Oryctolagus cuniculus: one gene and its partners. The protein of the gene in region 7 interacts with the protein of the main gene of each other region in a pairwise test. Links are inferred from orthologs where the notes say so. Each region holds a gene or a part of one and is shown on either strand. Other genes may lie near its edges. The genes, in order: LZTS2, ENOX1, NAB2, SAXO1, KCTD13, TNFAIP1 and ZMYND19.

Region 1 (3,933 bases), on a different chromosome or scaffold from region 7:
AGCTCTCTGCTGTGGCCTGGGAGTGCAGTGGAGGATGGCCCAAGTGCTTGGGCCCTGCACCCCATGGGAGACCAGGAGAAGCACCTGGCTCCTGCCTTCGGATAGGCGCAGTGCGCCGGCCGTGGTGGCCATTGGAGGGTAAACCAACGGCAAGGGAAGACCTTTCTCTCTGTCTCTCTCTCACTGTCCACTCTGCCTGTCAAAACAAAACAAAACAAAAAGAATCCCAGCATCCTATACCCTCTCCCTATACAAGGCCTTGAGTCCCTGTGCTGTCCCCTGATCCAGGCCAAACGCCTTCCTGACATGAGTAACAACGCCCTGACCCCCCCCCCCCCCCAAGGCTCCTCTTCCAAGTACTGGCACGAATCTCATTTCTCTCTGGGCCCCAGACCACTGCTCCCTGGTCTGCACAGGGCCACCAGGCAGAGATGAAGGGATCGGAAGCCTGCACAGGGCCACCTGGCAGTGGAGGCCCAGACCCAGACCTGCAGCCCCACGGAGACCAGGACTCAGGTTAGGCAAGAAGCCCTCTCTCCCAGCACCTGGCCCAGGTCCCCAGTCTCCTGGGACAGGTGGCCTCGTTACAGGGCAGTTTGGGCAGCGACAACCTCAAGGACACCACCAGCAACTCAGACAATAATTAGGGAACAAAGAGCCAAGGCCAAGCAGCGCCCCACCTCCCCCTATTGGGCCTCAGTTTCTCCCAGACAGAGAGGCGGCAAGGGTGGAGCTGGCCAAACAGGCAGTCCACAGCTCTCAGGGCACACACACCTGCCTCCTGGAGGTGATGCAGGCACTTGCTTGTTTCTATGACAACCCCTACCCTCTCCATACCCAGTCAGGGTGTGACATGGGGCCTAAAGGAGCCTTCATGGGCGCTGCCCGACTCCAACCTCTATCAGAAGCTTCCAGCTTCCGCCATCTCCAGAGAAACCCCGATGGAGGCGGAAGCCCCACCATCACTTCTGGCAGCTGCTCCAAGACCTCACCACCTCCCCGGGCTCTGCTCCTTCCTGGAAGGGGAGAGCAAGCCTCCCTGGGGAACTCCCTCCGGTCCCGAGGCCGCAGAGCACCAGGGCTCTGGCATCTGCCGAAATCATCATGCAGAACGTGCAGGCCAAGGAGGCGGACAGAAAACTTCCTGGGAGTAGGAATGTGTGCGTGTACAGGTCTTCATGGCCGCCTTTATGCCCAGGGGCAGCAGAGTGAGCACTGCGTGCCAGGAATAATGCGTGTGAAAACATGAGTGTGTGTTTGGACATGTTCAATACATACACCCGTCTAGGTGTGAACTAACGTGTGAACCTCACACGTATGCGTGTGTAATTAAGGGTCACCATGCAAGTACGCAGGAGTAGTAAATGCACAGGTAACAGGTGAGTGTGCTGAGATGCTGAAGAGGAACCCAGGACATGGGTTCCCCCCCGCGAACTCCTGTGTGTGCACAGCAGGCCGGCCAGAGCCGGGTTACCCACAGAGAAGGCTCTGAGGGCAGGCATGTCGGGCACCGGGGAGTGCGAGGGAACCCGCCAGTTTTCACTCTGGAGTGTGGGGAGAGGGGGAACCACCTTTGTCCGAGCTGTTCCCCTTCTTTCTTGCTTGTGTTCCATCGAGTTCATCCCTTTCCTCTCTACCCAAGTGAAAAGACACCAAGAACCAGGTCGGTGTCAGTCCAGACTGCCGGAGGAGCTGCTGGGAGCAATGGTGGGCCTGGCTGCAGGGCTGGGGCCTGACAGCACCCCAAGCTCCAGCCCTGGGCAACGCGGGCACCCGGGAGCCTCCTCCTCCCTCTGCAGGGCCACGTAAGGCACGGACAGGACGGGGGAAGGGGCTGCTAAGGGGGCCATGCGGGCTGGCATTTCTGTCCGCATTTCTCCTCTTCAGGGAGCACAGAGAAAAGTGAAAACTGAAGGAAGGCGATGGGCCCACTCGGAGAAAGAGCCAAAGGCCGAGACAAAGGCTCAGGGAGGCGCGGGGGTCAGGCGGCCAAGGAAGCCAGGCAGGCCGGCCCATGGCGCCAGGCCCCGGAACCGCAAGAGGCCAAGGCCCCCCAGACCCAGAGCGACGAAAGCCGGCCAGCCAGGCCCAGCCAGTAGGACTCCCGCTCTCAGAGCCCGACTGAGAAGGAGGGGCAAGCCGAGGCTCCATTTTGAGAAATGCGCCGTGGCTGTGGGCAAAGGGAACCCCTCGCTCTCCCGAGTAATCGCCGCGGTGGGCAGGACGGAGGGCTGAGGGCTGGGGCTCAGCCAGGGCCAGCGACGGCTCTGGCCGCGCTCCGAGCTCGCGCAGACCTGTTTTGGGGGCTGAGGAGTTCGGGAAAGTCGCCCTCCCACCTCAACTCCAAGAACAGTCACGCAGGCTCAAGTCTGGGATCCGAGTTCCCATTCCGAGGCAGGAAGCCGGGACCCCTCCCCCCGCCCACCCCCACTCAGCCGACGACCCCCCCCCCCCACCAGCACGGCGGCCGCCGAACGCCGCCTCCCCTCCCGACGCCGCCGCACAGAAGTTGGGGGCGACCCCGGGTCTCCTCCCGGCCCCGGCCTCCCCCTCACCTCCGCCGCGCTGCTCCATGCTCAGCCCCGGGCCGCCCCAAGCGCTCCACAGGCGCGCCGCCCGGCTCCGGCCCGCGCGCGGCCACTCGGAGCGGCCCGACCCGGCCGGGCCCCGCCTCCGCCTCGGCGGCGCACCCGGCCCGGGCCAGTCCCCTCCCGGCCCGAGTGGGCGGCGCGGCGCGGGGCGGCGCGGGGGAGGGGTCCGAGGGGCGTCCCCGCCCCGGGGCGCGGACACGCGCAGGCACCCCACGTCACGCGTGTCTGCTGGGGCGCACGCAGGGGCTGCGCGGCGGCGAGCGGGACCCCTCCCGCCGAGTCTCGGTGACTGCGTGTCGGACGGCTCGGTCGGCTGTGGATTCGGCGGGCGGGTCACCCCCTACCAGAGCCGGGCCCCGGGGCCAGCGGCAGCTGGTCATTGTTCGAGCACAAAGGGCCAAGGCGCGGCGCGGCGGCCCCTCCCCCTCGCTTCTCTAATCGAAGCCCGCCCCAGACACTCTCCAGCTTCAGAGTCCAGAGCGGGAAGCCGAGGGTCAGCTGCCCGCCGCTCCTCGGCTGCCGGGGCCCTGCGCCCCAGCACTAGTCGGGGGCCGCGGCCAGGTCCCTGCCTGGCCCACCCCACAGCGGGCTGGAGGCGGTACACGAGGATCTGCGGAGGCGGCGCCACCTGGCGGTCGGTTCTCAGAGCACATCTACTCGCCCCCCGACCCAGGGGGGTCTTCTCCCACTCCACAGCCCGTGCCCGTGGACGCCAGCCCAGGCCTGCCCTTGGCGCGGCTCTGGACTCCCCAACTTTCCCTTGGAGTCGCTGGCTAAGAGAAGGGTCATTGCCCGGGGAAGGGCGGCTTCTGGCCTCCCCAGTGGAAAGGCACAGCCCAAGCCTACACCAGCTTCCCACCAGACAACATTCCACGGTCTCCTCAGGGTCACGCATATGCTCACCCTCTTGGAAACAACATCTTAACACCCACACGACCTTTCCCACATTCAGTCTCGGGCAGCCGCAATCGCAGAGCTTCATCCGTCACGTGGTCCCCCAGGCCTCCTTCCATGCACTCCCAGGCCAGCTCCCGCGCAGCCCCGCGTCACACCGGTTGTGCATTAAGTCTTTCACAACAACTCGCAGGCCCTCGCACCTCCCAGCATCTTTCACATGCTGACAGCCTCGCAGTACTCACAAACAGCTTCTCATACTGCACACCGTGTTTTGCATGCACTCTATCACACAGACCTTTCCTTAGGGGTCTCTGTGACCTGGCCAGGTCAGCTGATGCCCGCTGGCCTTGGCGAGGACGGCCTCCCTCGCCCAGACGGCAGCCCTCCCCCGCAGGGCCAAGGCCAGCCAGAGCTGGGCTCTGCCCCAGGAAGGAGCATCCCCCCC
Region 2 (3,500 bases), on a different chromosome or scaffold from region 7:
ACTAGGAGGACCTTATTGTGCCCTAAGGCAAAAAGGGAATGAGCTCATATTCATAGTAACATCACAAGTAAGGAGATGCCAGAGAAACCCCTGATGAAATGCAAAGTACCAGAGAGGTAAATGGCTTTGTCCACCATGAATTCCTCTGCGAAGCGGATGTGACAGAAGTTCTTCTTGCTCTTCCGAATCGCTGTGATGTCACCGCACTGCTCGAAGACTTCCTGGATGATTTCCTCCGTCGCGTTTTCGGGTAATCCTCCCACAAACACCGTCTTGCAGCCGGGAGGCCGTTCCCTCGTGGACGGAGGGGGCAGATCTGGCAATCACAACAGAACAGATGGTTTTGTGCGGCATGCGTTGCCTCTCCTTCCTTGGTTCACCTGGCGAAAGTCGCGCTCGCAGGGGCAGCTGCCCCAACTTCCCTCATATCCCAGGCTGGCTGGCTTTTCCGTTTGACTTCCCTCTCCTCCCAACCTCTAGTTGTGGGCATTTCCACGCCTATGCTTGTCTGTGAACAAAGACGAGAGCAAATGGGCGCACAATTTCATTGCCCCTTTCCTAACACAGAAGCCCAGGAAATGGTGGGGGATGGGGAGGAGAGAAAACTTCCACCAAGTACAAAACGTGATGAAATGACAACCTGATGAAAAACCTCAGCTCGTTCTTGGCTTTGTCTTGGTGCCAGATAAAGGAGCTGCAAGGCAGAACACAGGAGGCGGAGGCGCAACCCAGGGAAGAAGCACAATACTTACTTGGCTGGGAAAACACTGTGCCTGAAAAAACACTTTGTCGTTATTCACATTTAAATGCACGCACTATTAAATTTGGGGGTGGCTGCATAAAAAGATAAAACTGTACATTGTCACAACATTTCACCTGGTTTATATGTAGATTACTAAAGCAATCTCCTGAAAAGTCCACTTGAAAGAGGCGACCCTTGATTAATAGCAATAAAAAAAAAAGCCTCCTAGCTACGTAAGCCCATACACTGAGTTATCTGAGACTAAAAATTAAAAAAAAAAAGTTCTGTCCCATGGACTTCATCAAATATATGTGTCCTTCAAGCAAAGGCAATTTGGTCCAGAAACTCTGAGATGCAGGTTGCCCCAGCCTCCAAATTGCCAACTGCCAAATTAATTCAATTTTCTATCCAGTAAAAACACATTTCAGAATTTGTGTCCTACATTTGTGAAGATGGGTGGAATGGCTTATATATTTCACACTATATTCTCGAGCAAATGCTGGCCATCATTATTGGTAAATATATTCTCAACGTTGGCTGTGTATCCCCAAATCCCAAGCGCTGGCTTCCTGGTGTGGATTATTCAGCTCCTAGGGAGACATATGCACAGGTCCCCATACCTGTGTTCTCAGCTAGAGAACAGAGATGGGCTATACAGAGAGGGACCCTCACTCTGTACAGCTAAGGGTGAGCCACATCTGAAAATGAATGCAACACTATTTAAAATTGTTTTTAAAAAGAAAAGAAGCTAAAATTCTGAGCCAGCCTTTCTCAGGAGAGTTATACTTACTTGGATTTTGAGGGAATAGAGTACAACTCTTGCAATGGATGATTTCTTTGACAACAGCCACCTCTGTTGGTGGAGGAGGTGGTACCAGCCCCAGTCCTGGTATCATTGGGTTGATGGGGGTGATTCCAGTCATCATGTTGAGGCTTGGATCAAAGCCTGGGACACAGATTGAGTCTGCAAAGCACACAAGTTAACATTTTTGGCTGGGGAACCTTAAATCCGTTTTTTTGTTGTTGTTGTTGCTGCAAAAAATTACTTGACTTGATATTTCCTGTTTTTCAGGAATTGCTCCTGGCATAAGGTAGAGCATTACAGAAAATTAATTCAGAAGGGGAGAGAGAGAGAGAGAGAGAGACAGAGAGGGAGGGAGGGAGGGACGGACCTAAACCTACACGAAAAGGAAATTATATTACTTAAAATATTAACATGGCAGAACAGAACACAATGTATTAAAGTGTAAAACCATGCACCATGAAGCTTCCCTATTACCGTGAATGCAGTCTTCTGCTTCTTCACTTTGTGTGTTGTTTACACTGCCTTATGACCCAGAATGTGGGAAGAACAGCATTTAACATTGAAGTGCCCTGTGAATCTAATTGTCAACCTGGTTTTATCAAAAGAGTCTTCTTACCCAAGTGACCTACATTTGCCAAAGTTTAATTTATATGTGCACACTTTATAATCATGCATTCAGGTCCTACCTAACCTACTTCCCCCAGGGGATGAAAAAAAAAACAAAAAACAAAGAGCGATTATAATTACTATGGCTTAGATATGTGCAGGCATAAAATTAGCTATATACATTTCTTAATTCTTTTGGATAATTACATTTCCTTCCCATAATTCAATCAACAAATAATTAGCCTACCCTCCTGAAATTTTTATGCCTTTTATTTAAAAAATTCAGCACTGGGAAGAGGGTAGAAAGCATTGGTTTTCCAGCAGAAATACTGTTTTTTTAAAATATTATAATGAAGCAAGTAATTTCAAAGGTAATATATAAGACTTTATTTATTATTTCTTTAAAAAAGACCTCTAGTACCAAAAAGATAAAAAGTGTTGGTGAAGATGTGGAGTAGAGGCAACCCTTCTAGACTGTTGGTAGAAATATAAATTAGTGCAGCAGCCACTGTGCAAAAGCAATATGAAGGGTTTCTGAAAAATTAATAACAGAACTACCATATGATCCAGCAATCTCACTATTAGGTATATCGCAAACACAATGAAATAAAAAAGATACGGCCGTATTCCCTTTCCTTTCTCTCTTCTCCAGCCGCCCAAGATACTGAAAGGCTTGAAGGCCCAGGGAAAGAAGGCAGCCGTGGGCCCTGCTGTCACGAAGAAGCAGGAGGCCGATGAGGTGATAAATCCTCTTTGAGAAGAGGCCTGAGAACTTTCCCGCTGGACCGGACATCCAGCCCAAGAGGGGCCTCACCCGTTTTGTCAAATGGCCCCACTATTTATATCTGGCTGCAGTGCCTGCAGGTGCCTCCTGCCATTAATCAGTTCACCCAGGCAATGCACTGCCAGATGACTACCCAGCTGCTGAAGCTGGCCCACAAGTATAGACCAGGGACAAAGCGAGAGAGGAAGCAGAGGCCACTGGCCCATGCTGAGAAGAAAGCTGCTGTCAAAGTGGACCCAGAGCCCACGTGTCCTCCGGGCGGGTGTCAGCACTGTCACTACCTTGGTGGAGAATAAGAAGGCTCAGCTGGTGGTGACTGCACACGATGCGGATCCCACTGAGTTGGTTGCCCTCTCGCCCGCTCTGTGTCGGAAGATGGGGGGGGGGGGGTCCCTCGCTCACTGTACCATCAAGGGAAAGGCCGGGCTGGTGTGCCTGGTCCACAGGAAGACCTGAACCCTTGTTGCCTTCATGCAGGTGAACTCGGAGAACAAAGGGGCTCGGGCTAAGCTGGTGGAGGCCATCAGGACCAACAACAATGACAGATGGGGTGAGACCCGCTG
Region 3 (4,265 bases), on a different chromosome or scaffold from region 7:
TCACGCCCTGCTCCGCCCCCCACCCTCGGGCGGGCGTCTCCCTGCGGAGAGCAGGGCTCAGCGCCGCCCCGAGGGCGCCGGGTGGGAGGGAGGGGGGCGCGGGGAGCAGAGGCTGCGTGGGCGGAGGATGTGCGTCACGGGGAGCGTGGGCAGGGGGAGGGAGGGGGCACGTGGAAACCCGGGGCCAGCGACTGGCAGCCCAGGCTCCAAAATAACCCGACGGGGGTGGGGGAGGGGCGCCCACCCGCCGCTGAGCGGGGTCGGACAGTGCCCCCCGGCGGGAGCCGGTCTGGCCGCGCCCTCCCGCTGAGGGACTGGACGAGGGGGACTCCGCTGCTTCCCGCCGCCCCCACCGCGTCTGGAGCTTCCTGGGATGGAGAAGACAATCTGAACTACTGAAATCCCGCCACCAACAAGGCCACCCCTCCTTCCCTGCCCCCACCAGAGACAGCAAGGTCCCCTGGCCAGGCCGGAATGTAGAACCAGCCCCGGCCCACGCCACCCACCCCCCGGCTTGGCCACTCAGAAGCGCGGAATGGCGGGGCGGGGCTGAGGCTTCGCACCAGGAGTACCCTCGCCTTCGGCCAGTCTGCTCGCTTCCCGCCGCCCCCACCTCAGTTCCCCTGGGCTTAGAGCCGCTGGGCCAGGCCCTCGGAGCCCCCGCCTGCACACCTCCCCCCCTCCCCACCACCCTCCGAGCCGTGGGCGGGAGAGAAATGGGAACCAGATGGGCTAGGAGAAACCCAGGGGGAGGTGGGCTGCGGAGGGGGCTCGGCCCCGGGGAAGGCGCCCCTCCGGCCGCAGCCAGACACTTCGGGAGCACCCGGTCTCTGCTCGCCGCCCGGACTCATAGGTGTCCCAGAACGGTATCCTTATCCTACCTGGGACACACAGCGGCCGAGGAGCAGGGCCCCGTCCTGGTGCAATGGGCGGCGGCGAGCAGAGGAAAGCGGGGCGCACCCTCCCCCCCCCCCCCGCCGCCGCCGCCCCTGCTGGCCGGACTAACCAACCTGGCGCGGCAGAGCCGCGCACGCCGAATTGGTGGCTTCTAGCATGGCCCGCCCATCCCTGTTTAAAACTTCAGCAACGACCCGAGGCCGGCAGAGATGGAGGCGGCCCGGGTCTCCGAGAGCGGCCCCTTCCAATCTTTTCGTTTGAGGGCAGGGGAAGGGCTGGGATACCCAAGGGATCCTATAGCGCAAGACTGCTGGAGGAGAGGCACGCGCTGGAGGAGCCGCGCGCCCTGAGCCCTTCGCCAACTTTCGCCGGCTGGCTCTCCGCATCCGCACGTACGGCAGCGCGAGGCCTGCGTGCGGGTAGCGGGCGTCCGCGCGGTTGTTGAGGCGCGTGTGCAGTCCTTGCGCTTCCCCGTGTCTTTGTGTACCTGTGCGTGGTTGTGCAACTCCTCTCTCCTCTCGGAGAGGTAGGGGTGGCGGGGGGGTGGGGGGGAGTAGGAATGTCGCCGGCGGGGCGCTCACGTGGGTACGTGGGTGCGGAGAGGGCCGGCTGTGCATCCGGCGTGGGCGGCATGGAGCGACCTCGCCCCGCCCGCCGGGCCCCCAAGCCCGCCCTCCGCAGCCCGGCCTCGGTCACCTCGGTCCCCAACTCGGCTCCCCGGCTCCGAGTTCCCGCCCCCGCCTCCCGCTCCACACCCCCTCCCCCCCAGTCTCCGCCTTTCTCTGTCTCTCCGCCGCGGCGTCTCGGAGACCGAGAGGCCCGGGCGCCCGCCCCCCGCCCCCGGCCCCAGCCCCCGGCTCTGCCCACGCCCTCCGCCCGCCAGCCCGGCAGCCAGCGCAGCGCGGGGCCTCGCTCCCCGTGCGTCCTGCGGGGGTGGAGGCGCTGAGAGGCGGCGAGAGCAGCCGGGGAGGGGGGGTAGAGGCACAGACTGAGGCGCGGAGGCTCGGAGAGAGAGGACGTGGAGGGAGGGACGGAGCCTGGACAGCGGTGGACACGGCATCGCGCGCAGGGAAGAGCGCAGCGCGCAGCAGGCGCCGAGCGCCGGGCATCCGGAGGGGCAGCCTGGGTGGTCTCCGGCCGTCCATGCACAGAGCGCCCTCCCCCACAGCTGAGCAGCCGCCGGGCGGAGGGGACAGCGCCCGCCGGACCCCGCAGCCCAGACTCAAGTTAGTGGGCAGAGGGAGACAGCGGGGAGTGGAGATGGGTGGAGCTGGACTGGGAGTGGGGTCCGGAGGGCGGAGGTCGCGGCGAGGACGTGGGGAACCGGGACGGGGGTGGGAGGTGGAGACTGATGAAAAAAGGGGGTGCGTCTTCGAATGAAGGGACCCTGGGAGCAGCCGAGGATCCGCTGCAACTTGATGTGAAAGAGCGGCACCTGATTCTCCATTCCCAGTTTATTCGGTGGGCCTGAACTGGCGTGTGAGCCCCCTGTAAAGACTGTGGGAGTCCGCAAGTGCCAGGAGAAGCCCAAGGACTGGAGTTGGCAACAGTACCCGGTGGGGCGCATTCAGCCGGCTCAGTCTGCAGCTGGCGCCGAGCGCTGCCCCCCCCCCGGGGGGGGTCCCGCACACGTCGGCGCCTTTCAGTTACGGGAATAGCAGCAAAGCCCTGAGCAGCCAGGGGGTGCCTTCGGCGTCCTTTGCCCCTGCTGCCCCTTCGTTCACAGCGTGAAGAGGGGCGTCTGGGTGTGCAGCCGCTCCCCCACTCCACTTGAAAGTGTGGGTGGAAATTAAGGGAGGCGAGAGTAGGCGGGAGCCCCTAGGCGGGGTTCGCCCACAGACGCTACCGCTGTGGGAGTGTGTGTGGGCGGATTGGCCCCAGAGCAGAACAATCGAGCTCCCCTCCCCTCCCCCACCGTCTGAGCTGAAGGGACAGAGGGGAGTGAGTGGGGAAGGTCACTGCTTGGAGAGGGGCCAGCGGGGCGCGAGGGGAGGTTACTGGGCAGCATGGGAGGGCGGAGGGGGCGGGGTGGAGAGCTAAGGTGCATCAGGAGTGCCTGATCCCTGGGCTAGCTGAGGGGCACAGGAGCAGGGGTCAGCCTGGCTCCTAGTGGGAAGACCAGGGAAGGGGACACACCCCTCCCTCCCAGCCACCCTGGTAGAATGCCCCCAAGGGAGTGCAGGTGGCTCGCAGTGGTCCCCAGTGTCCACTGTGGGAAGGATGAGTGGGACATTCCCCTTAGTGTGTGATGTCACTTGTGTTGAGGTGTTTAGGGTGGAAGGTGAGGGCCAAGTGTTTTGGGGGAGAGAGGGAGGGCCAGCCATCCCAGGGGTGTGCCTAAGGTCTTCTTACCCCTGCCAGAAAGGGCAAAGCTGAGGATGGGGTGGGGGTGGGGGCGGTGAGCCTTTGACTCCCGCCAACAAGGCCCTGGCTTTGGGTGCTTCTGGCTAGTGTGGGATGTAGTGGCATGTCAATGCCTCCGAGTAGTGCCCAAGTCTCAGAGTCTGTGCTCAGTGCTGGGCGCTGCTGGGCAGAGGGAGAGAAGAAACCGACGGAGAGAGAGAACAATTGTTAGTGTGGGTTGGTACCCAGCCGGGGGCCTTGCACTCACTGTTTCTCTCACGCCCCTCCTTCTCAGGCCCAGTGCCCGAGCCATGGCACTGCCTCGGACGCTGGGGGAGCTGCAGCTGTACCGGGTCCTGCAGCGGGCCAATCTCCTCTCCTACTATGAGACGTTCATCCAGCAGGGAGGGGACGACGTGCAGCAGCTGTGTGAGGCCGGCGAGGAGGAGTTCCTGGAGATCATGGCACTTGTGGGCATGGCCACCAAGCCCCTCCACGTGCGGCGCCTGCAGAAGGCACTGAGAGAGTGGGCCACCAATCCAGGGCTCTTCAGCCAGCCGGTGCCTGCCGTGCCTGTCTCCAGCATCCCGCTCTTCAAGATCTCCGAGACTGCGGGTACCCGGAAGGGCAGCATGAGCAATGGACACAGCAGCCCAGGAGAGAAGGCGGGCGGTGCCCGCAGTTTCAGCCCCAAGAGCCCCCTTGAACTTGGAGAGAAGCTGTCGCCACTGCCGGGGGGTCCTGGAACGGGGGACCCCCGGATCTGGCCGGGCCGGAGCACTCCAGAATCAGACGTTGGGGCGGGAGGGGAAGAAGAGGCTGGCTCACCTCCCTTCTCCCCACCTGCAGGGGGAGGAGTCCCTGAGGGGACTGGGGCCGTGGGTCTGGCAGCGGGTGGGACTGGGGGGAGTCCAGACCGCCTAGAGCCAGAGATGGTGCGCATGGTGGTGGAGAGCGTGGAGAGGATCTTCCGGAGCTTCCCCAGGGGGGACACCGGGGAGGTCACGTCGCTGCTGAAGCTGAAT
Region 4 (3,500 bases), about 56 Mb from region 7:
CTTTATATACAGAAGATTGATTTAGTATTTATTAAGTAAAGATTTCATCAGTTTGCACCCATACAGAAACACAAAGTGTAAAATACTGTTTCAGTACTAGTTATAGCATTACTTCACATTGGACAACACATTAAGGACAGATCCCACATGAGCAGTAAGTACACAGTGACTCCTGTTGTTGACTTAACAATTTGACACTCTTGTTTATGGCATCAGTAATCTCCTTAGGCTCTAGTCATGAGTTGCCAAGGCTATGGAAGCCTTTTGGGTTCGCCGACTTCAATCTTTTTCCGACAGGGTCATAGTCAAAGTGGAAGTTCTCTCCTCCCTTCAGAGAAAGGTACCTCCTTCTTTGATGGCCCCGTTCTTTCCACTGGGATCTCACTTGCAGAGATCTTTCATTTAGGTCTCTCTCTCTCTCTCTTTTTTTTTTTTTTTTTTTTTTTTTTTTTTTTTTTTTTCGCCAGAGTGTCTTGGCTTTCCATTAGGGCACAATTTTGGAAGCCAACATTTCATAGAGGTTAAAGGGTGTGTGGTTTCCACAAGTATAGACAATTTAATTGGCTTGGGGCTGGGGAATGGAAGATCCTTGACCCCTTGAGGCTGATAGTCTGACCAGTGAGATAAATGTTAAGCAAAACAAATTATTCAATGATGATGACAGGGGATAGTCCTTCCAGGATCGATAAGGTGCTCTAACGGTGCTCTAAGCACCTGAACTGGCTTGAGGGGAGATCCTGGAAGGCCTCTGCCGATGTGATGTTTTGGCTGCTAGCTAAAGGACAAGTGACACACAGAAAGCAGGAGAGATCTATGCAGAAGGAATCCCAACGCTAAAAATCCTGAAGCAGAAAAGATATGGAGGAAGGGAACTGAATGGAGGCCCTAAGGCTGGAGCAGAGGAGCTCGGGATGGAGAATCCAGAACCTACAAGGCTTTAGAAGTTAGTAAGGATTGGGATTTGATCCTAAATACTACAATGCTTATTTGAGGAGTTTCAAGCACAGAAGATTAGTTGATAAGATTGTAGATATGCTCAAGTGTATGTCAAGGAGTACACTTCAAGAAGGCAAGACTAGGACTTGGCCAGCGGGAAACAACAAAAGTATGGAAGGTAGAGGGAGTTTAGGGCATTAGTGACAGATGAGCTGCAATGATCTAACATGGAATAGGCTACATGGAAAGAACAGGCACAGGAGAGAAGGTTGGGCACCAACAGATTAGGGGATACAACAAGGCCAAGAACTGTTGTGATGGAAGCAGATCAGAGACTAAGTCAGAGGGACCGGATGTTGGGGTACACAAAGTCTTCAGAGGTGGGATAATTTCAGGGTAGAATGTCCAGAGGGTTGTCTTTCAGAAGGTGGCTATGGATGACTAGGAGAGGAGCACACTAGGGTAAGAAAGTAAAAGGCCAGAGTGGAGATTGCCATAGAGGTCTATACTAGTAACAGCCCTGAATCTCCAATATGAGCAGGGCCCACCAGAATGGTAGGCTCAGAACTCCTCCAAGCAAAATTTCCCACATGTCTCCAGCCTTCGCCACCTCTGCTGCCAGCCTACCTCATTAGTAAATGCTTAACTAAACATAACCCTTATGATAGAGGTCCACCAAGATCATTCAGAGGTACACCGATGTTTCACATAAATTAACTGTTGAAACTTGTCTTCCTAGAGCAACAGTGTGCATCATAAACAGAGGCATTACAGATGACAAGCTTGGCCTCCATTCTCTGATCTCCATCTTGGGGCCAGGCTCTCAGGGGTATCTGCTGTTATACTGGTAGCCCAACCATAGGACTCCACTGCCCTTCTCTCCCACTGGACTAGAGGGCCTAGGACAGTTCACAGTTCCTAGGCACATGCCTGGTATGTAATAGATAATCAACGAAAAATAATTATGCAATTTTTTTAAATTTTCAAAAACAGATTTTGAATGTTTCATGACAAAGCAATAACAAATATTTGAGGAGGTAAATGTGGGCCATGATTTGAACAAAATATAACATACACATGTATGAAAATAACACATTATAACACATAAATAAGTATAATGATGTCAAAAGTAAAACTATGTCAATTCACTTAAAATATGTTACAAAACTGGCAAAATTATTTTGAAGTATTAAAAATCAGCATTATGGTTATATTCCAGTTGAGAAAGGTGGCTGAAAGGGAGTAGTGATGCTATTTTCTTGATCTGGGTGCTATTTATAAGGGTGTATTCAGCCAAAATTCATTGGCCTGTACCACTATGATTTATATACATTCCTGTATATTACATTTCAATATTGTTCTAAGTGAATGCGTGAATCAGTCATTGAATCAGTAGAATCTAGCTCACCTAAAACTTGAAGTACTTCCCCAATGCATATGATTCAAACAGTGAACTAAGGCAGGGGTCAGAAAATATTTTCTGTAAAAGGCTAGATACTAAGTACCTATAGCCTTACAGACCATAGGGTCTTTGTCAAACTACTCAGTTTTGCCAGCGATAACATGCACTGTATTCCAATAAAATGTACTTGTAAACACTGAACTTTGAATTCCATGTAATTTTCACATGTCTTAAAGTAATATATATTTTTTGGCAAACATTTGAAAATTTTAAAACCATGCTTAGCTCTCGACCCATATAAAAGCAATCTGTTGGCTGGATTTGGCTTTCATGAAGGAGTTTGCTGACCCCTGCACCAAGAGAACATACAAAACATACTTCCTGATCTGTCTACAATTCAGCCTATCCTTTCCCCAGCCCACTTCTCAAGCGTTCTCCCACCTTTATAAGTAGGCAGACACTCCATCTTGTCACCACACGGGTATTTATTATCCCGAGGTTTAATGGGGTCCACTCGACAGACAGGGTAGGGGTTGTAATCTTGTTTGTATGTTGTGAGCAAATCCATATTCTCTTCACTGGGGATGAACTGTTCGGGCTGGTGGACCTTCACTGGTACCACTTTGTGAGGCCCAAAGTCTCTTCTGGAAGGAAAACAAATACATATTGTTGGAGTCCTTGGCTTGGAATGAGGCTTGTGTTTTCCATCCCAACCCAATCCTAAAACATTTGCTGAGAAGTCAACATCTTCTCTGCCCCCACTCACTGCTTTTCCTCGTCTACCTCCCACTTTCTAGAATGGTACCACTATTCCCTTCTCACCAAATCAGACTCTTGGATGTCATCCTGGAAACCCTCTCTCACAGTCCAGAGTCTGTCACTCATTCACCAGGTGTGGCCTCCTCCACCTCATGAGTTGTTCTGTCCCCTTTAGTTTAGGCCCTAGATCATGTGACAGCCTACTGTGCAAGCTCCCTGCTTTCTCTCCCACCATTTCTACTTCAACCACCATAGTATGGCCAAACTGTCTAAATGAAAACGGGATCATTTTGTTCCCCAGCTTACAAATATCCCAGATAACACTCGATCTCCTAGAATGATTTGTAAACTCTCCTGGACCTGGCCTCTACCTTACTGCCCACCCTCATCTCCCACCACCCTA
Region 5 (3,010 bases), on a different chromosome or scaffold from region 7:
CAGTCAACGCATGCAAAGGGTTAGAGAGAGGCCTCACACTTCCTGCCCACGCGCCCCCTCCCGTGTGTGGTGAGTGCTGCTCTCCGTCCGTCCCCCCATGCCCTAGGCTCCCCCGAAGATGGGCCTCGAGTGGTCTTCATCGTGGACCTCTGGCACCCCAATGTGGCTGGGGCCGAGCGCCAGGCCCTGGACTATGTGTTCGCACCAGACCCCTGAGTGCTGTCTTCCCCTGCGGACATCTGAGCTGGAGACGCCGCACTGAGGGCCAGCCAGAGCGATGGCCAGCGTGGGACCGGGGGGCTGGGGGAGGGCGGAGGCTGAGGGAGGTGGCGTGGGCACCGAAATAGACCTTCTGGATCCTCTCCGGTGTGCCGACTACTTCCTTCCCGGCTACAGGGCTCAGGGCAGGGGCCCGTCCTCCCCTGCAGAACCAGTCAGGTGTCTCCTTAACACAGGCCGCCTCCCTGTGCCTCTGCTGGGAGCCAGCACCACACCGCTACTCAACTGTATTCCAATAATTTAATAGAAAATTTAAATAATAAATAATACGAAACAGATCGAGAAGATGGCTGAGCTGGCCCAGGCCCAAGCCAGCCTAGTCCACAGTTACGGGGCAGGGGGGACGGCAGGGGAAGGAGGGGGTGGGGGCTCCCGGGGTGGTGGCCGTCGCCAAGGTCTGTCTTGACACTTGAGCGTGGGCTACATGCTAAAAAAACACAAAGGGGATTCGGAATCGTTCAAAACCAGCCGCCAGGCAAAGACGGCAGGGCGAGGCCGGGAACGGTGGGATGGGTGACAGCCCTCAGTGCGGGAGGGCTCTGCTGAGGGGACGGGGCGCCCCGTGGTGTCAGCAGTGCATGGGAACGGGTGGAGAAGGGCCACGGTGACCTGAACATGCGGTGAAGGGGAGACCCACGACTTGGCCAGCAGAGTCGGGGCAAAGGTCTGGGAAGGGGAGGGAAAAAGGGAGGGGCTGGGGTGGGGAGGCAGGAAGGCGGGGCAGGGTCAAAGGTCAGTCCTTGAACACAATCTGCTGGCCGTGAGGACGCTCGTCGTGGGTGATGTGGCGCCGCACGTGGATCCTGCGGACGCGGTGCTCCCGGTTCTCTTCGTCCTCCCCTCGGCCTGCCCGACCTCCTCCAGCCGCACCTCCTGTGGCTTCCAGGAGGGCAGGGTCTGGGCCTCGGGGAGTCTCGTAGATCAGAATGTTCAGGGTCTCTTCAAAGATCCGGGCCTCTGGGAATTCCACCTGTGCAAGGTCACAACCCGCCATGGTCCAGCAGCACAGAGCCAGCCCCCAGCCCTGGCGGCTCCTGCACTGGCCTGGATGTCTCTGCACCTTCTTCATTTTTTTAAGATTTACTTATTTATTTGTAAGGCCGAGTTACAGAGAGAGAAGGAGAGAGAGAGAGAGAGCAAGCGAGCAAGCTTCCACTCGCCAGTTCTCTCCCCAGCCAGCTGCAATGGCTGGGCTGGGCCAGCTGGAAGCCAGGAGCTTCGACTCGGCCTCCCACGTGGGTGCAGGGGCCCAAGGACTTGGGTCGTCGTCCACTGCATCTCTCAGGCTGGTAGCAGGGAGCTGGATGGGAAGTGGAGCAGCCGGGGCTCCAGCTGGCGCTCACATAGGATGCCTGTGTCGCAGGTGGCGGCTTTCCCCACTACGTCCCAGCGCTGGCCCCTGTGACGTCTTTACTCAGCAAAGTCCTGCTTCAAGGCCCAGCTCTGCAGCCAGGCAGAGTGACTGTTTCCGCTCCTCCGCGGCCTTGTCTCCTCATGTGGCAAATACTCACCCAAGGACCGCGCTGTCCCGGGGCCCCCTCTGCACCCTGGGGACAAAGCCCCTGCCCACAGGGAGTTTACGTTCTAGTGGGGAGACTCACACATATGAGGGTCTTCAAAAAGTCCGTGGAAAATACATGTAATGAAAGACACCACATGCACTTCAAAATGCTTTGGCACCAAAATAAACTTATCTCGTAATCCCACTTCTCCACAAACTTTCTGAGGTAGCCTCGTACACTTACGAAAACGTAAACTGAGTCGGATGATGACAGACGCTGGGAGAGGAGGCAGGTGAGGCTGGCCACAGCCAGGAGGCTCACCATGTCAGGCAGTTCAGGAAGGCCTCCCTGAGGTGCCGTCCACCTGGGTGGACAGCCAGAGGAGGTGGTCTGTCTGGGGAGGGGCAAATGTGAAAGCTCTGGGTCAGGAGCGAGGGTCAGCCAGGCCAGTGCCACTGGGATGGAGGCAGAGCAGAAAGGATGAAGCCAAGAGGATGCCTGGCCTTGGAAGGCGGGAACCACCACAGCTCTTAATCAAGATGCACTCTCATGACTGGTTAATCTTCCAGCCCCGCCCAGCCTCTGTTGTAGTGGGCATGTCCTAATCAAGATGCACTCTTACGATTGGTTTATCTTCTGGCCTGGCCCAGCCTGTTATAGTGGGCATTTGGGGAATAAACTAGTGGATGGCAGCTCTCTGCCTCTCCAATTTATATATTTATATATAATTCTTGGCCGGCACTGCGGCTCACTAGGCTAATCCTCTGCCTTGCAGCGCTGGCACACCGGGTTCTAGTCCCAGTTGGGGCGCCGGATTCTGTCCCGGTTGCCCCTCTTCCAGACCAGCTCTCTGCTGTGGCCAGGGAGTGCAGTGGAGGATGGCCCAAGTACTTGGGCCCTGCACCCCATGGGAGACCAGGATAAGTACCTGGCTCCTGCCATCAGATCAGCGCGGTGCGCCGGCTGCAGCGTGCTGGCCACGGCAGCCATTGGAGGGTGAACCAACGGCAAAAGGAAGACCTTTCTGTCTCTCTCTCTCACTGTCCACTCTGCCTGTCAAAAAAATAAAATAAAATAAAATATATATTTACGTATAATTCTTTTTTTTTTTTTAAAGAAAGTTCATGAGGGAAAGTGTCACAAAGAAAGTGCTGGTCATCTTGGGCCTAAAAATGAAATACGTGTCCTTTAGGCACAGGGATGAGGAAGAAGAGGCCAGCAGTGTGGCA
Region 6 (3,958 bases), on a different chromosome or scaffold from region 7:
GCACCCGTGTGGGAGACCTGGAAGAAGCTCCTGGCTCCGGATCGGCGCAGCTCCGGCCGTTGCAGTCATCTGGGGAGTGAACCAGCAGATGGAAGACCCCTCTCTCTGTTTGTAACTCTACCTCTCAAATAAATCTTAAAAATAAATAAAAAACCACTCTGCCTCAGAAGACCAGGAAGGCGAGCACACCTACTGTGTTCATCACTGCAACCCTAGCACCCAGCACGGTGCCTGCACAGTCGGCACTCCGTGGACATCTGTGGGATGACCAGTGGCTGTGCAAGCAGCCGGAGGCCACTACAGCAGCCCAGCACCTGGAGGCCGGCGTTCTGGGTTGAGATGTTTCTGTAAGTCGATTTGCTAGGACTTAGAGGGGCTTGACTGGAGGAGGGGATGAGTGAAGCGGTCGGGCATGAATCCCTTGCACCTGGGAGGGGTAGCTGAATGAGTCACCTGAGACGGGAGAAGGGTTGAAGGAGAGGCTTCCCAGCTGCCCATCAGATTCCATCCCAATTCCCACTACACGCGGCGGAGCGCCGGGGTGAGGGCGGAAACGCCTCACCACGATCCATGCTTGGCATCAGGCACAGGCCCCGTTCCTGGGGTTGGAGGAAGCACGAGGCTGAGTCCGGAGGGCCTGACACTGTCTTTACTGCGCAAACCCGTTGGATTTACACGAGTCCCCGCTTCCTAAGACCACGCTCAAGCTCCAGGCCCAACCTGAGTGTGAAACGCTCGCGAAGGGACGGGCGGAATTCCTAAGTTTCTTTCAGCCTGGAACAGCCTTTCCTCAACAGCGGGTCTGTCCAGTTCCTCTAGACCCAGCTGCCCCCGACCCGAGGTCACGACCTACCTGCCCACCCGTAGCGGTGGTGCGCTGCGGCCCAGGCTGATGTTGACAGGCAGCTCCTCTCGGCGGTGGGCAGCAGTCAGTGCCTGGCCGGCTCGCCTCTCCTCAGCCGCTGCCACGGCTACAAAACCTGTTTATCCACAACGTCACTTCCGGACACCGGAAGCACTCACACCCGTTCATCCTACAGGGCCTGCTGGGAAACAGAGGCCCGAAGGGAAGGATGACTGCCTACAAGATCCAGAGGCCTTTGCGCCTGCAGGGCTACCGGAAGTGGCTATGCTCTTGCCCGGAAGATCCTCCGGGAATTTCCGCCTCCCCTCCCTGTTAGAGTGCTGTGCATGCCGGGCTTTGTAGTCTCAGGCTTATGGCCCGCTGCTCCGGGAGGAGTCGACCGGCGCAGGATGTGAGCTCACAGCTCGGGATTGCTGGCGGGCAGGCAGCCACAGGTCAGAGACGGCACGGAGTTCGCTCGCCCCCCAGCTGAGAGGAGAGGAGCCCCCGGCGACGGTGAGAGTCGGGCCTCGGCTGGAGCAAAGACTGCCCGCCGGGTCCTGGGAAGCAGGGGTGGGACGGCGCAGCGGAGATGCAGAGCTGGTCTCGGTTCCTTGGTAGTGAGGGGGGCGGGCTGGGCAAGAGCCTACGCTGGCCACGGGAGAGGCTGGCCGTGGCCGAATTTCTCCAGGACCTTGCAGCCTAAGCCTCACACCTAGGATTTCTGCTGGGTCCACCCTCTATAGCCAAGATCAGCTCACGGCTTCCCCAACACCCACCCGCCCCCGGCCCCCCGTGCGTGACGGGTTTCTAGATCCTTCTTCCTTTGGGATCCAACCGCGGTCCACCGCTTTGGTTGTCTGCCTTTTGTTCGCAGAGTGGGAAATGGATCCGCCCCTAGCCCCAGGCATCCCCAAATACCCACAAAGTCCGGAAGGAAGAGTATTGAGTGGAAACTTCATTGTCGCTGGAATTACTTTCTGGGGCGGCACCTGCCGCAGGATTCCTGGAACTCATTGGTCTGAATGGAATCTGAGCTGACGTCAGCCAGGAACAGTTGCTTTGCAGGAAAGGAATAGATTAGCTGTGGATTTGTCTTCCTCTCCTGGCAAACCGCAGGCTTTCAGTACCTTTGCTTTGGGAGAAAATGCATGTGTTTTCTTTGACCTTGTTAAAAACTTTTCCTGGGTGGACTGATTGGTTTGGAGTCGGTGGGAGGTTAGGTCATCCGCTGTCCCAGTGGAGGTCTCGGCAGACTCCTGTTGAGGGCTTTTCTCATCCACACCGCATGCCTGCACAGTTCATCACTTCACAGGACACCCACTCTGGCCCTTTTGGGACATTCTTCCCAGGGACCTGCCTAAATCTTTTCAGGGACAATTTCAATCTGACGAACTGCCATGGACTTCAAAAGGTTCGTGGGAAGTCAAATTAAGAAAAATTTATTTTGGTGGAGAAAACATCTTGAAATCCATGTATAAAAGTGCAGGCCAGTGTGCAGAAAGACCGCGTGCGGAGTGGAGCGGCACAACTGGGGACACCAGTGCCATTTGTGGGCTGCACTTGGCGAGGCACACCGTCAGCTCCCGCGTGTGAGCATGGAGGGAGAGGATTCTGCCTTTTCTCTGCCTCTGTTCCCCCTGTGCTCCAAGTCTTCACCACTTTATGCCTGCACTACTGCTTCCTCTGGTCCTCCCACGGCCTCTGCACCCTTACAATCCATTCTCTACACCGCACCCAGAAGTATGGTTGCGATTATCTCACTCACCTGCTTAGAACCCTCCAGTGGATTCCTGCACTGCACTGCACTTGAAATAAAGCCCCAGCTCTTGGGCACCAGCTAGTACCCGCCTGCCTGCCTGCCACGGAACCAGAGTCAGTGCCAACTCCTATTTTCCTTTTTAAGTTCGTTAACATGAGGATGCTTAATTGAACTCCTTGAAAGCAAAGACTGTATTTTTCATTGTTCCCTACTGTTTCACAGGGTTGGCAGTCAGTAGTTTCACTGCTAAATGAATTAAATAATATACATTAAATGCCTAGAATAGTGCGTGGCACATGAAAACGCGCCTTAAGAGTCAGCTATGACATTCTCTTTAGATGAATTTTAGCGCTTCTCTAGGAAGCCAGAAGCATAATGTGGACTTGCAGTCGCGAGGGTGACTGGGTGGCTCCCTCCGCTCCTCCCGCCTGAGAGCTCCTGTTAGTGCTTTAATTTATACATCATGGCTGGCACCGCAGCTCACTAGGCTAATCCTCCACCTAGCGGCGCCGGCATACCGGGTTCTAGTCCCGGTCGGGGTGCCGGATTCTTTCCCGGTTGCCCCTCTTCCAGGCCAGCTCTCTGCTGTGGCCCGGGAGGGCAGTGGAGGATGGCCCAGGTGCTTGGGCCCTGCACCCCATGGGAGACCAGGAGAAGCACCTGGCTCCTGCCTTTGGATCAGCGCGGTGCACCGGCCGCAGCGCACCAGCCGTGGCGGCCATTGGAGGGTGAACCAACAGCAAAGGAAGACCTTTCTCTTTGTCTCTCTCACTATCCACTCTGTCAAAAAAAAAAAAAAAAAAAGAATTTATACATCATTTAATTGCTTTCAGATCTGTCATCTGATGTTCTGGTTCTGCCTCCTCATTCTTGGTGGAAAGCTTGAGAGGACGAGATAGGGCTGGGCTCCCACTTAGGAAAAAGAAGTGAAAATAGACGTCCTGTATTTGTTCTGCCCTGGCCAGTGGTGACAATTTCAGGAACTTGGAGCATTGCCAAGAAAAGGGACGGTCAGGAAATCCAAGTGGAACCTAGGTGACACTGCCGAAGACCCTGGCTAGGTCCCCCAGTCTGACTCACTCCATTGTCTCCTGAAGCTGCTTTTACTTTCCTTTCAAAACTCCAGGTGACGCTAAAGCAAGCACGGGCCCAGGACGCTCCTGCACCTGGTATCTCTAGAAAGGAAGTCCACCCTGTCCCTGTGGCTCCTGGGAAAGTCCTAGTTTGGCTGATGCCCAGCAGGTTTGGCTGGAAGTCTGGGTTCCTAGTTACCCTAAGAGAATAAATGGAATTCTGACTGGTAGATGCCCAGCAGGGGCTGTTCCTCAGGCCTAGGGCTGGCTTGTCTTCTT
Region 7 (3,975 bases):
TTGCCAGCACCGTGATGACTCCCCCCCATCCTCGACTGCTCTTGAGACTTGGAGAAAAGAAACCACCCAAGTTCACCACACCTCACCAAGAGCTGCACTGTCTCATGCCACTGTATCTGTGGCGGCTTCCTAGGAAGGCTCACTCTCGCAGGTAACTCCCCAGGCCATGCAGAGGCGGCGGCTTGGCACACAGGGAGACCCTCCCCGGGGCCGCTGCCGGGCTGGGGCGGAGGAACGACCCTTCGCCCTCCCTGGATGCTGACTGCGCACCTGGGCGGAAAGGACGGGCGACCCACGCACACCCCGCGCCACCGGGCCGCCTGCAGCGCCTGGTCCGGCAGAGCCACACATAGACGATGCGGGCAGAGATCCCCACATTGCCCCCCTGCAAGGCTGGACTGGTGGCCCTGCCTCCCAGCCTCTCGCCCCTGGCAGGTTGAGGCACAGGGACCCAGATGTCACGAGGTTTTCTGAGAAAACAGCCTGCAAAGCAGAGCCCGGCACACGGGAAAGGGGGCTCCGCGGGGTGGCCTCTGCAGACCCCTCAATGCCCGGGGTCCCCGCCGGCTCCTCAGCCGGACACGCGCCGCCGTGGCCGCCCAGCTCGACCCCGCCCCGAGAGGCCGAGGCTTTCCGGAGGACACGCCGCGGGCGGCCCCGGCCGCGCCGTTCCAGCCGCCCCTCACCACTGGGGCCGCGCCCCATCTGAGTCCGGGAGCCGCGACCCGGGCCTCCCCGCGGGGCCGCGGGGCGGTCCAGGCCCGGGTGGCCGGCACCTTCGGGCTCCGGGGGGCTGGGCGCGGAGGCCTCCTCAGGCTGGTTCCTCAGAGGCTCGCAGCAGGTCGCCCGGCCGGGGGAGACGACGGCGAAGCGGACCCACGTGGACGCCACACAGCGGGGACCGCCCGGGCGAGGCGTAGCTGCCCGCACAAAGCTTCCCGCGAAACTGACGTCGGAGCCGGGCCCGCCGCGCAGGCGCCGCCCCCGGCCGCACCCCTCCCCCGCGCTCGCCCCGCTCCCCAGCGCGCCGGCGCACTCTCCTCTCCCCCATTGGTCGCTGCGCGGCGGCGCGCGCCAGCCGGCGCACGGCGCGCCTCGCGATTGGCTGGGCAGCGGCGGGCCGGGGGGTGTGTCCCGCGCCGCGCCCCGCCCCTCGGCTCGGCTCGCGGTGGTGCGCGCGGCGGCGACGGCGGCGGCGGCGGCGCGTGGCAGGTCCGGCGGGCGCGAGGTGGCGGCGACGGCGGCGGCGGCCCGAGCCCGGCCCAGCCTCGTCCCGCCCGGAGCCCGCCCGGCCCCGGCCCCGACCCCGGCCCGCCCGGGCGCGCCGTGGCCTCGCCTCGGCCCGGTGTCTCCCGAGGGAGCGGCGCTGCCGGCCGAGAGCGCAGGCCCGGCCATGACCGACTTCAAATTGGGCATCGTGCGGCTCGGCCGGGTGGCCGGGAAGGTGAGCGGCGCGGAGCCCGCGGCTGGGCCCGGCCCGCCCGCCCTGGCCTCTGCGCGGGGCCCGGGGCGGGGGCGGTTGTGCGGGCTGCGGCCAGGGCGGGGGCGCCGGCCCCGGAGGGGCGCCGGCGGGGCGGGGGCGCTGCGCGGGCCCGGCTGCGGGGCCTCGCTCCGGTGCAGGCCGCCTCTTGAAGTCGGTGGGGCGCGCCCCTTGCCGCCTTCGCCGGGGCCCGGTCTAGGACCAGGGCCGGAGATGCGCGCCCGTGCCCGGGCCGCGTTCGTCTGGCGCTCTCCCATGTGGGGCTTCCGAACTGGGCCCAGCCCGGCGCCAGGGCTGCACCTGCGGCCGCGCGGTTTGAACACGGCGCCCCTTCCAGGGCAGCGCCACCTCAGTCCTTCTTGCTAGGGGGTCTGATGGGGGCCTCTGAGCTTGCACTGAGCGTGGGCTTCCCCAGCGCAGGACAAGGAAGCCGGAACCCCGGTGTTGGTGAACTCGAGGGCTCCCTCGACTTCTCTCCCCTAGCCCGGCCTCCGCCCTCCACAGGCTGCAGGCGAGGCCTCTGGCACCAGTGGGCCTGGAGGCTTGGCTGTTTCCGCCTTGCAGCAGCCTGGGCCTTACCCTGATGGAAGCCTGGTCCCTATATCCAGGGACTGAGAGGCAGTCTGCATTCAAGTGAAGGTAAAACAGCTCCGATCCTAGGAGAGATCTCGCAGGAGTGAGGCTGGTGTTGTTGGGGGTGTCCCGGGCTCTCCCCTGGAGCTCTGGCCCTCTCCAGGCTGCATTAACGTCCCCAAATCTTTCATCCGGAACATTCCAGGCAGACTGAACTGGAAAAGGGTGATTGGGCGAGCACCTGTGCACCCCTTGCCCAGCTTAACAGACAAATTGAAACCTGGTGTGTACTCTGCCCCTGCTCCAGGGCAGCCCACTAGGTCTGGCCAGCTTTATCGGGGGCGGTCTTGTGTGGGAGGCCTTTGAAGCCAGGTGCCTCCTCCTGTGGCTTTGCTGTGTCTGCCGCACACGCAGTGCTGCAGAGCCAGGCCCCCTGGCTGTAATGAGGCGCAGACCCCAAGTGTAACGCTCTGTAATGTGGTTGATTTGCAGACCAAGTACACGCTGATAGATGAGCAAGACATCCCACTGGTGGAGAGCTACTCCTTCGAGGTAAGGGCGCAGATGGGGTGTTCCCGGGAGGGCCGAGCGGAGTGCAGGTGCTTGGGTCCAAGAGGCCCGGCACGTGGATGTCTGGTGCCAGCCGGTGGAGTCTCCGTGGCCTTTCTGACGCTGGCCTTGGCCGACCTGCACCCTCCCTGGTCGCTGGCTGCTGTTAAATCAACTTTTGTCCTGTTGCTGACAGGTGTCCCTAGTGCAGCTTACCCAGTCCTCTCCACGGTCCCAGGTGCTCTGTAAGGAACTTGCCTCCGACCTCTGCGAGTGGTCCCTGGTGCTCTGGCCACAGGGCCCCACAGTTCTGCAGGAGCTCCTTCTCCAGGGTGTCCCTTTCTCACGGGATCGTGGGGGGTTTTTATTGGTGGGAAATTGTCTCTGCGCCCATAGAACTTCACAAATAATTGCTTATGAGTGAGGGTTTTTTTTAAGGTTATTTAAAATTTATTTGAAAGGCAGCATTAGAAAGGGAGAGACAGAGACAGATCCTCCATCCTCTGGGCCAGGCTGAAGCCAGGAGCTTCTTGTGGGTCTCCCACGTGGGTGCAGGGACCCAAGCACTTGGGCCATCTTCTGCTACTTCCCCAGGCCATTAGCAGGGAGCTGGATCAGAAGTAGACCAGCCAGGACTAGAATCTGCGCTTCTATGGGATACTGGCCCCACAGGTGGTGGTTGAACTTGCCACGCACAGTGCCGGCCGCTAGTGTGAGCGTTTCTTGTGTGAGTGAAAGGTGGAGTGGTTGAGGGGGCATAGCTGGCCTCTGCATCCACAGACACCCAGGTCCCAGAAACGGGCTGGGCCCTGTCTTCCGGCTTTTTTGTTTCATTCGATTATTCTAAGAGGGATCTGGAAATTGGAGGATTTTACCAATCCTTTCCTTGTTCTTTTCAGGCCCGCATGGAAGTAGATGCAGACGGAAATGGTGCTAAGATATTCGCATACGCCTTTGACAAGAACCGAGGCAGGGGATCGGGCAGGCTCCTTCACGAGCTGCTGTGGTGGGTGTTCTCGCGCTGTGCTGGTCTCCCCCTCGGCCCTGTGTGACCCTCACCTTCCCCGAGTCAGTGGCCCGTTGTCTGTGCCTGGTGCCTCCTGTGGTACAGGAATGTGGACGACTGCCTTCCGCTTTGCCCAGCACTCCGTCCACAGACAAAGCGCCTCACGCCCCAGGACAGGCTCTGCGGGGGGGGGGGGGGGGGGTCCTGCGCTCTGCCCCGGCTCTCCTGGGGCGCCTCGGCGGGGTGTGAAGGGGCAGCTCACTGGGGAAGTTAACTGCCGCCTCGGTGTGCATGATGGGATGCTGGTGTCTGGGACCTCTCGCTGAGGAACTGTTTGTAGGCTGTCTGGGTCTGGTTCGGGGTATCG

The links.
Region 1: the proteins of ZMYND19 (region 7) and LZTS2 interact in binary tests that used the Homo sapiens proteins (3 or more experiments, as listed by UniProt). The two-hybrid records come from large-scale screens. The link is inferred for Oryctolagus cuniculus from reciprocal best matches to the Homo sapiens genes ZMYND19 and LZTS2.
Region 2: the proteins of ZMYND19 (region 7) and ENOX1 interact in binary tests that used the Homo sapiens proteins (3 or more experiments, as listed by UniProt). The two-hybrid records come from large-scale screens. The link is inferred for Oryctolagus cuniculus from reciprocal best matches to the Homo sapiens genes ZMYND19 and ENOX1.
Region 3: the proteins of ZMYND19 (region 7) and NAB2 interact in binary tests that used the Homo sapiens proteins (3 or more experiments, as listed by UniProt). The two-hybrid records come from large-scale screens. The link is inferred for Oryctolagus cuniculus from reciprocal best matches to the Homo sapiens genes ZMYND19 and NAB2.
Region 4: the proteins of ZMYND19 (region 7) and SAXO1 interact in binary tests that used the Homo sapiens proteins (3 or more experiments, as listed by UniProt). The two-hybrid records come from large-scale screens. The link is inferred for Oryctolagus cuniculus from reciprocal best matches to the Homo sapiens genes ZMYND19 and SAXO1.
Region 5: the proteins of ZMYND19 (region 7) and KCTD13 interact in binary tests that used the Homo sapiens proteins (3 or more experiments, as listed by UniProt). The two-hybrid records come from large-scale screens. The link is inferred for Oryctolagus cuniculus from reciprocal best matches to the Homo sapiens genes ZMYND19 and KCTD13.
Region 6: the proteins of ZMYND19 (region 7) and TNFAIP1 interact in binary tests that used the Homo sapiens proteins (3 or more experiments, as listed by UniProt). The two-hybrid records come from large-scale screens. The link is inferred for Oryctolagus cuniculus from reciprocal best matches to the Homo sapiens genes ZMYND19 and TNFAIP1.

What each region holds. Positions count from the first base shown.
Region 1 is NC_091446.1:28,872,964-28,876,896, forward strand, and holds the start of LZTS2 (leucine zipper putative tumor suppressor 2), read right to left. Parts: upstream 2,801-3,933; 5' UTR 2,556-2,800; intron 2,418-2,555; exon of another isoform or gene 1,693-2,417; 5' UTR 1,623-1,692; coding exon 1,572-1,622; intron 1-1,571. UniProt on the Homo sapiens protein: Negative regulator of katanin-mediated microtubule severing and release from the centrosome. Required for central spindle formation and the completion of cytokinesis.
Region 2 is NC_091440.1:62,510,837-62,514,336, forward strand, and holds part of ENOX1 (ecto-NOX disulfide-thiol exchanger 1), read right to left. Parts: exon of another isoform or gene 2,806-3,500; intron 2,052-2,805; exon of another isoform or gene 2,004-2,051; intron 1,707-2,003; coding exon 1,533-1,706; intron 317-1,532; coding exon 110-316; intron 1-109. UniProt on the Homo sapiens protein: Probably acts as a terminal oxidase of plasma electron transport from cytosolic NAD(P)H via hydroquinones to acceptors at the cell surface.
Region 3 is NC_091442.1:59,719,386-59,723,650, forward strand, and holds the start of NAB2 (NGFI-A-binding protein 2), read left to right. Parts: upstream 1-1,465; 5' UTR 1,466-2,040; coding exon 2,041-2,123; intron 2,124-3,535; coding exon 3,536-4,265. UniProt on the Homo sapiens protein: Acts as a transcriptional repressor for zinc finger transcription factors EGR1 and EGR2. Isoform 2 lacks repression ability.
Region 4 is NC_091432.1:181,871,670-181,875,169, forward strand, and holds part of SAXO1 (stabilizer of axonemal microtubules 1), read right to left. Parts: intron 2,983-3,500; coding exon 2,780-2,982; intron 1-2,779. UniProt on the Homo sapiens protein: May play a role in the regulation of cilium length. Stabilizes microtubules at low temperature.
Region 5 is NC_091450.1:7,313,463-7,316,472, forward strand, and holds the end of KCTD13 (BTB/POZ domain-containing adapter for CUL3-mediated RhoA degradation protein 1), read right to left. Parts: intron 1,250-3,010; coding exon 1,013-1,249; 3' UTR 501-1,012; downstream 1-500. Other genes in the region: ASPHD1 (aspartate beta-hydroxylase domain-containing protein 1), read left to right, coding at 107-216. UniProt on the Homo sapiens protein: Substrate-specific adapter of a BCR (BTB-CUL3-RBX1) E3 ubiquitin-protein ligase complex required for synaptic transmission.
Region 6 is NC_091448.1:43,886,713-43,890,670, forward strand, and holds the start of TNFAIP1 (BTB/POZ domain-containing adapter for CUL3-mediated RhoA degradation protein 2), read left to right. Parts: upstream 1-1,158; 5' UTR 1,159-1,360; intron 1,361-3,958. UniProt on the Homo sapiens protein: Substrate-specific adapter of a BCR (BTB-CUL3-RBX1) E3 ubiquitin-protein ligase complex involved in regulation of cytoskeleton structure.
Region 7 is NC_091432.1:237,722,169-237,726,143, reverse strand, and holds the start of ZMYND19 (zinc finger MYND domain-containing protein 19), read left to right. Parts: upstream 1-1,175; 5' UTR 1,176-1,393; coding exon 1,394-1,444; intron 1,445-1,771; exon of another isoform or gene 1,772-2,119; intron 2,120-2,545; coding exon 2,546-2,605; intron 2,606-3,501; coding exon 3,502-3,608; intron 3,609-3,975. UniProt on the Homo sapiens protein: May be involved as a regulatory molecule in GPR24/MCH-R1 signaling.